Xenopus tropicalis: one gene and its partner. The protein of the gene in region 1 interacts with the protein of each later gene in a biochemical or structural test. Links are inferred from orthologs where the notes say so. Each region holds a gene or a part of one and is shown in the gene's direction. Other genes may lie near its edges. The genes, in order: cgas and rnf185.

Region 1 (4,276 bases):
CTTCCTTCCTACACCAAGACTTTAGCCACGCATTTAGCTCCCTAAGCGCCCGCTGTCTCCCTAAACTTGCACGTGGCACTGGCAAAATTTCTGAAAAAATGACATTGGAGGACCTTTCCTTAATCTTAGAGCCAAGATCCCTGAACTCACTCTTTAAGGTCCCCCACCTACCGTTCATTTTGTCGTTATTACCGATATGTACCAAGACAGCCGGGTCATGCCCAACCCCTCCCAATAATTTGTCAACCCGATCAACCACATGCCGAACCCTGGCACCAGGAAGACAGCAAACTGTTCGGTTGAAGCGATCCGCTCGACAGATTACCCTGTCCAATTTCCTAATGATTGAATCACCTATAACCACCATCTGTTTAGGCCTAGCTCTGCTCTCCTCCCCACCACTACTAGAGAAACTAGTCTCCCGGCTGTTAGAGAGATCAGCCTCATCTAGAACCGCCAGTCCAGAGATCACACTCCCATCTTCTTCACACAATCTGGCAAATCTGTTGGGATGCGCAAAGCCTGGAGCAGCCTCCTTTTTCCTTTTCCCCACACTAGATTGTCTAACTGTCACCCAGCTTACTGCCCTGTCATCCATTTGTTGCTCCCCTTCAATGTTGCTGCCACTCATTCTCCCAGTTACAGGAACAAAAATAGGTGAAAAGACTTGTAGTAAATACTAACTTAGTACCTTGTTTTAAACTCCCTTAGTTTGAAACTCCTGTGTTTATAACTCCACTTATAGAGCCCCCACTAACTCCTGTGTTTATAACTCCAGTTATAGAGCCCCCACTTAAAGAGCAATCACTTACAGAGCACCTACCAACAGAGCAAGCTCCACTGGAGTGCCAGTGGTTCTATTTATACAGTCTGTTATGGTCAACTAATCAAACCCCACCCACCTCAAACTGAGGTTAATTACAAAGGAATGTAACTTCTGGCAAACCTGTTGTAAGCCTTATAGTTCACCAAACTTTGTGAATAAGAACCAAAAACAACAATTACTTTTGAAAAAAATTAAACCCAACAGTTAAAAAACACAAGGATTTTGAATAAAGTTAATAAAGAATACTTATCCCTTTTTTATTGAATTGAAAAGCAAGTTGATTACAATTGCAATGTAATTGGTAGCATACATAGGTAGTTGTAGTAGTTTTGTAGTAGTTTTTGTTTACTTTAGTGAAGGCTTATTTTTGGTATCAGATCACTTGATACACCAGATAACCAGTAGTGTCTGCTGTAGTTTTGTATATTCAGCATGCTTTACTTTAAAAGAGAAAATGTAATATACACCACATATCAAGCTCTGCTTGCAGAAAGCTATTTAACACTTTTTTACTGCACATACAAACTAACCAGTCAGCACAAATGTAATCCCTTCACAGAATATCTAACTTTCATAATTAACAGGAAGTCTGCATAGTTAATTTAGTAGAAATGCTCCAGGCAGACTTTCATTTCTTCATATTGACGTTCCATACTGGGAGGGATCAGCACACAAAGGAAACTGAAATTCGCCAGGTTTTGCCCATTCTAAATGAAAGAAATGGAAGAAAAGTCTCCCAAGTACATAGGAATAAAAAGACAAACCAGCAGCAAAATAAATTCCTGCACTACCGAGGCACCGAATAAGAGTAAAGCCTCTGGGATCACAACTGGAAACTCGACAGCAAGCAGGAAAAACAGTGCAAAAGGAGAGGCTTGCAAAGCTTCTGTGAGCAAAAGCGGAAAAGCTACAGAAGGTACGAGTAGCAATAGGACACCAGACAAGGCTGGGAATGAAACTGCAAAAACAAAATTAAAAGACACAAAAGGCAAAAGCAAAATGAAGGCACCAGACAATGAATCAGCAGTCTCACCCATGAAAGCTACAGAAGGCAAGGAAATGGATGGGGCAAAAGATGAAGCTAGCCAAAAACCTGTGAAAGCAATTACAAAACCTAGTGCTGGCATCAAAAGAAATGGGGCATCAGACAAAGCTGACAAAAAACCTGTGGGCACAGTTGAAAATGCTGCAACATGTATACAAAATAACGGGGCCTTGGATAAGCAGGATAGAACAGGTGAAGGAAATAAGGCATTAGATAAAGCTTACGTAGAACCTGAGATGACAGTTAGAAAACTTTCAACGGATGGAGAAAATAAGGCATTGCAGAAAGCTGATGTAGAACCTTTAATCAAAGGTAAAAAAGCTATAAATATGGCGAATAAAGCTAATGCAGAACCTGGGAGCGAAAATGATGACAAGCTTACTAAACATCTGAACCGTACACTTAAGATGCAGAAATTGAAAATGGATGAGATCTCAAAAGCAGCAGAACAGGTGAAAAAACTGGTTAAAGATTTAGATAAATTCATCAAATCATCTAAAGATCCTGCATTCGAAGGTATGGAGATACTGAACACTGGAAGCTACTATGAAAAAGTTAAGGTAAGGAACTTTTGGTAAACTTGGACATTAGGTTCCAAAATACAATACTACAGCTAAATTTCTGATAATGTAAAATGTATTTTTAGCTAATACATAAGACTTTATTAAGACTGATTAATAGTTTAACAAACCCCATAACTCCTAGAATATACAAAGCATTTTAAGTAATTGTAAATAATGTAGGACAACTCTAGTTAGCAAAAACCAGCAGGTGCTCCAAAAATGTGACAAAACTAGAAAAGAAATGTTTGCTATTGAGAAAATATGTGTGCTATTAAGCAGTGGCGTAACTATTCTAACCCCCGCAAAAAGAATCTATGGAGGCCCCCCCGCAAAACCTCCCCCCACCACTTGTGTATAAATCTCTGCTCCCCGCCCAGTCTCCTACCTGAGAGCCCTCAGCAAGCGGAATTTTATATGCAACAATAAAGGAAGCTAACCCTGTTTCCCTTATTGTTACACCACTACTATCAAGAACAAATGAATTAACAAATTAACGATAAAGTGAAATAGCAAATGGTTTAAAAATATTATATATTATGTATTGAACTTAAATTAATAGATATACTGTGGCGAGAAAAAGAAAAGTGATAGCAAGTTGAGAGATCAATAAAACCAGCCTAGCTTAAATTATTCCCATGTGCAGAATAGGTTGTCACAACTAAGTACTAATATTACAATAGGCTGTACCACAGACATATATCCAACACATTTGTGAGGGGTGCATAAGTACACATGCATTTTGGCAAGAATTGGACACAATTGCAAAAACATTTTTTATTGTCAGGATATCTTTATTTCTCTTGTCTTGGCGCACTGTGTTTATTTACGCAAGCCTCTGTGGGAACCTAGAGCTACCTTTGAGGTGTGGTGGTAGCTCCAAGGTTGCACTTACACACCATTTTCAAATAAACAGTGTGCCTATGCACAAGTGCAATGAGTAGCTTTGGACAATAAATAAATAGCAATTTTTCTTGCACTTGCGAGTGACTTCTTATACAGTATATGTAGCCCTATTTGAAACAGCTTCCCTTGTATCACTAAGGACCCAATCTAGCGGACTAAGTTATGCCCAGGGGACCAAAGGTTGGCAAAACCTTTACCCGTCTATATATATTTTTTTGAAAGTTAATCCTGTTAGGAGCTAATGAGAGCTCAGACCATATAAATGTAAAAGAAACACTGTTTTACGCATATTTTTGCAAAATCTAACAACACGTGCCTTTACATTTTTCAGATCTCAAAGCCAAACGAATTTGACATCATGCTGAAAATACCATGTGGAAGACTTCGCATTTCAGAGTCAGACGCCAGTGGCAGTTTCTACACACTAACAATAAACAGAAATCCAAAGCATCCTTTAACAAACTATGTTGAAAATGGAAAGATTTCTGGCCAACAAATGCTAGATCGATTAAGAGAGCTAATCAAGAGTAAACTCAGCAGATTAGGTATGGTCATTTTCTACTCTAAAAAAATTCATTGTTAAAAGACTAACAAGAAATCCCAGCGTTAGAAAAAAAGCACCCTGAGTTTAGAGATCAGAAAAAATTCTTATCATTTACTGATAATTGTCTCTACGTGCGTTTAAGCAGAGGCAATTCTCATTATTTTCTATGGAAAATTATTTTCTGGAATTTAGTAGCCATGAAAAAGTAGCTGCAACTAGTAGCTCAGTGTGTCTTTACCCTTAGTAGCCATGAAAAGTAGCTGCTTCTAGTAGCTCTGTGTGTCTTTACCCTTAGTAGCCATGAAAAAGTAGCTGCTTCTAGTAGCTCTGTGTGTCTTCACCCTAAAGGACAGAAATAATTAATTAATGCTGGCTTTGGCCTCTTTGCGAACACA
Region 2 (4,365 bases), on another chromosome or scaffold:
ACTTGTTCTATTATTAGATTCTGAGATATCTGGATACCTTTTCTGCTATTTTGTATTACTAGGCTTTTTTGTACCGGCAAGTATTGCAACCACTGAGTAGAAGGAAGCTGAAAGGTCTGTTTAAAGGAGAAGGAAAGTCAAAACCTATTAAGCACACTATTAGATAGTACTACTATTGCTGTGTAAAATGCTATATTTCTGGCTTGCCTAATGAAAGATTTACAGAGATACACATACTAGAACCTACATACTTGTTTCAGTGAACAGCGCCGCCATCTTGTCCAGCATGTCTGTATGGGCTGAAAAGCACAAGCCAGCCCCCCCTCCGATCCCCGCTTCTGTCACAAACTCCCCCCCCCGCTCCCCACTCCTGCCACAAACTCCCCCCCGCTCCCCACTCCTGCCACAAACCCTCCGCCACTCCCCGCACCTGCATGTCACAGAGTTCTCCGTCACTGCGTCGCCATGGCAACCAGACGCTCCTGCTGTGTGCACATTCGCCGCCTACAGTAACAAGTCGCCAAGTCTGGGAAGGAGCGAGGCATTATGGGAATCTTCTCTACACTACTCAGCGTTTTTTTTACCTGTTTGGCTTCTGATCTTCTGAACAGGTGAAGTATGGGGAGACTTAAGGGCACTATTGAGACAACTGAAGGTATGCCTGCAGCTTGAGATTAACTCTTTATTAGCCTTTCCTTCTCCTTTAAGGATAGTGAATGTAACCATTGCCCCATTTTGAAACACATCCCCAATATTTTGGGGATGTGATTTTGTTGCCTTTTTTTGCACAGCATAATAAATAAGCCCCATAATGGACTCTGTGATGCCAATGTCCACTGCTACCATCTGCTTATAATCTAATTTTTGGTGCCAGTATCCATGCCTCTTAGTACATATAATGCTGTTTTGCCGTGCCAGTATTACATACAAAGATACGGTCAATACATTACATTCTAATGCAAATTCGCAATTCTCCTGGCATCTACAGTCCCTTTATATCCTGGTTCCTATTTAGTGGAAGTTGGGAAACTGGACCACTGGACATCTGAAAATGTTAGAGTAATAGATCAACTTGGAGAACCAAAGAGAGCCGCATAATGTAACAATATTTTGCCTGAAAAGCAGCAAGAGAAGATGAGAACCCCCCAATCTCCACATTTCTGCACTAATCCTATTAATGTTATATCCTTCTCATTGATGACATGCTTCTCTTCATTTCCATACCTGGTGGTACCCAGGCAGCTTCACGGAAACGTTCGAGATCCTCATTACTACTATCAGAGTCACTATCCTGCGTGCCTCCTATGGGGGCTGCCATCTTGCTTGTGGTCACGTGACTAACACGCCGAAAAGTCTATGTGAATTCCGCTTCCTGTTCGAAAAGCAGGATGTGACGTTTGAGAGGTGGAAGTGACTGAGATTAGTTGGACTGCTCTACAGTCGGTGATACCGGAGGTAGGACGACTTACATTTAGTTGGCGATAGCAACAACTCAGCTGGAGACTGCTTGCAAATGGTATAATAGTTATCCCGAGTTCTGGTGGCACGTAAAAACACCTACAGTCGTGCCGCTCAGTGTGTGTCTGCGCCCCGCCAGCTGTGCCGTTCCCAACATCCTGATTGGTTATAAATTGTATGGTGAATCAGAGTAATTTAGCACCTTTACGCACAGATACCTGCCCTACGTGTCAGTGTTGTGTTAGCCTCATAAAACGACTGGTTTATTTGCTAAACATCCGCTGTGATTCCTCTACATTCATTAACCAAACGTAGGAGTGCCACACATAGTGCTGTCACAGCATTTGTACCCAGTGTCAGGTGCTAATTTGGTCCAGTGATGGCGGACGTGCGCCTCTGTGCAGCCCATTGCTGAAGTAAAGCTCTAGACAGCAGCAGTCTCCGACTTGGACGTATGGTGCTTGCTATGCAAGTGTAAAGTACTACAGGTTTTATTCATTCTTATTTGCAGCACCGCTTGCACTCACCACTTTGGGAATGATGAATGAATACAGTAGAACCCGCATTAACGTTTTTCTTTGCACCAGGCAAATGTATAATCAGAGACATGCATTATGCCAAGCATATCGGTCGGGCCACAACATTTTTTTAAATATCGGGGTATGTAAAATTAAGGTTTCACTGTAAATGCATCTTGAAAACTCTTACTGTTCTTGGAACCCCATTTATTTTTTATGGATTTTACTATGAATTTTTATTTTACATAAAGGATAACTTATTGTATCTGTTATATATATATATATATATATATATATATATATACAATACTCCATGAGTTATGCGCACTCTGGAGTGCGCATAACTCATGGAGTATTGTATACATGGAACAACCAGATGCAGCACCCATTGAGACTACCAGACACGTGAACAAGGAGGGAGTGCGGACCAATTGTGAATTATATATATATATATATATATATATATATATATATACATTTTTTTTTTCTTAGTACTGTGGAGTTGGTTTCCATGGGTCCATTAAAGCTGGCCATACACGCACCAATACTATCGTACGAAACCTCGTTTCGTACGATATTTGATGCGTGTATGGCATGTCGGCGAGTCGACCGATATCGCAGGAAGCTGCTGATATCGGACGACTCACAGATCGGCCAGGTTAGAAAATTTTGATCGGGCGCCATAGAAGGCGCCTGACCAAAATCTGCCGTCAGGGCTGAATCGGCAGAAGGAGGTAGAAATCCTATTGTTTCTACCTCCTTATCTGCTGTTTCAGCCCTGACTGTGTGTGGCGGATCTGACGATGTTTCGTGCTTAACCCTCTGTGTACAAAAATAAACAATCCTCCCATTTATCCCATGTTTAGGGCACACTTGAATTTGATGATCTGTGAACATATTCCTGCACATTCTTTTAGGGTGAGCCCCGACGGCCCAGACCCGACCCTTGCCGGCGCTCCCCCGGCTGACCGTTCCTCCCAACACGCTAAACTTCCGCGCACTCAGGGGAGGACATCGGGTGAGGGGCTTAGGAAGGCTCTGCAGGGGGAGGTGTTAGGGGGTGCGAGGCACGTGGCTGGCGGGGGCACCTGCAGGGCCCCTGGGGCAGGAACCCAAGGGGCCCTGCATCCCCCCAGTCCAACCCTGGCGACTAGTAGCAGCTACTTTTTCAAGGCTACTAAACTCCAGAAAATACCCTGCCATAGACAATACCGAGAATTGCCTCTGCTAAAGCAGATATAGAGACAATGATCAGTAAATGATCAGCATTGTCTTTTTTTAGTAGCCACAACAAGTAGCTGCTACTATTAGCCCCATGTGTCTTCACCCTTAAGGGAAGTGGCAGACATTGCCCCACGACAAATCTTCGTTACCGCAGGCGACTAATCCCCCCACAATGCCATCCCACTGGCAAGAATGTAAATTGCAGCTTCGATGGCATACGTGTTGCTACGATTTCCCGAAGTTGGCAAAAGTTCCTTTAAAGGCGGCTTTGGGAAATCGTAGCAACACATATGCCATCCCACCGGCGATTTCCATTGCGGTAATGAAGATTTGTTGCGGGGCGATTAATCTCCCCATCTGCCACTGCCCTAAGGGTGAAGACAGAGCTACTAGTAGCAGCTACTTGTCACAGCTACAAAAATAGACAATACTGATCATTTACTGATAATTGTCTCTGTGTGTTTTAGCAGGGGCAATTTTCAGTATTGTCTATGGCAGGGTATTTTTCTGGCATTTAGCAGCCATGACAAGTAGCCGCTACTAAGTAGCTCTGTGTGTCTTCACCCTAAAACATTATTAGAGCATCTCTGGATATGTCACCATATTGTTTAAGCCATGTCGCTGCTGAGAGTGAGGGTATGTTAAGTCACTTGCTCATGTCAGCGTAGACACTTGGTAATCACTTTATACTCTTAAGTAGATTATATTTGTTTATGCTTCTAGTATAATTAAGTTACTTTTATGTTTATCTGTTCATATCAAGCACAGCTCTCTGGCCTTTTGTTTTTCTACGTAGTTGCTTTCCCCTGCCTGTATGGCTACAGTTGGCAACTAGTACAATTATTTTTATATATATATATATATATATATATATATATATATATATATATAAACACTCTTTAACCCTGTGGAAAAATACAAAAATAGTTGATGTTTTCATATCCCTACTATAAACTTTCTGTAGGTGTATTTTTAAAGTGCGTAAAAAGAATATGTTGGTGCTTTTTAAATGTGTGTTATAATAATGTTTTTGTATGCTGTGCGGTGCATAGTGTTTTTGGTAAGGCTTTTATGTGCATGGTTTGAGCAATTTCTTACAACTGATGTAATGGTTGTTGCAAAGGCAGTGTTCATAATTCAGATTTCCCATGTTCGTCATTTAGCT

Evidence for each region.
Region 2: of the proteins of cgas (region 1) and rnf185, one has a biochemical effect on the other in vitro, tested with the Homo sapiens proteins (2 studies listed by BioGRID). The link is inferred for Xenopus tropicalis from reciprocal best matches to the Homo sapiens genes CGAS and RNF185.

What each region holds. Positions count from the first base shown.
Region 1 is NC_030681.2:91,836,852-91,841,127, forward strand, and holds the start of cgas (cyclic GMP-AMP synthase), read left to right. Parts: upstream 1-1,441; 5' UTR 1,442-1,537; coding exon 1,538-2,431; intron 2,432-3,668; coding exon 3,669-3,882; intron 3,883-4,276. UniProt on the Homo sapiens protein: Nucleotidyltransferase that catalyzes the formation of cyclic GMP-AMP (2',3'-cGAMP) from ATP and GTP and plays a key role in innate immunity.
Region 2 is NC_030677.2:151,998,754-152,003,118, forward strand, and holds the start of rnf185 (E3 ubiquitin-protein ligase RNF185), read left to right. Parts: upstream 1-1,374; 5' UTR 1,375-1,455; exon of another isoform or gene 1,456-1,516; intron 1,517-4,365. Other genes in the region: c1h12orf43 (protein CUSTOS), read right to left, coding at 1,225-1,318. UniProt on the Homo sapiens protein: E3 ubiquitin-protein ligase that regulates selective mitochondrial autophagy by mediating 'Lys-63'-linked polyubiquitination of BNIP1.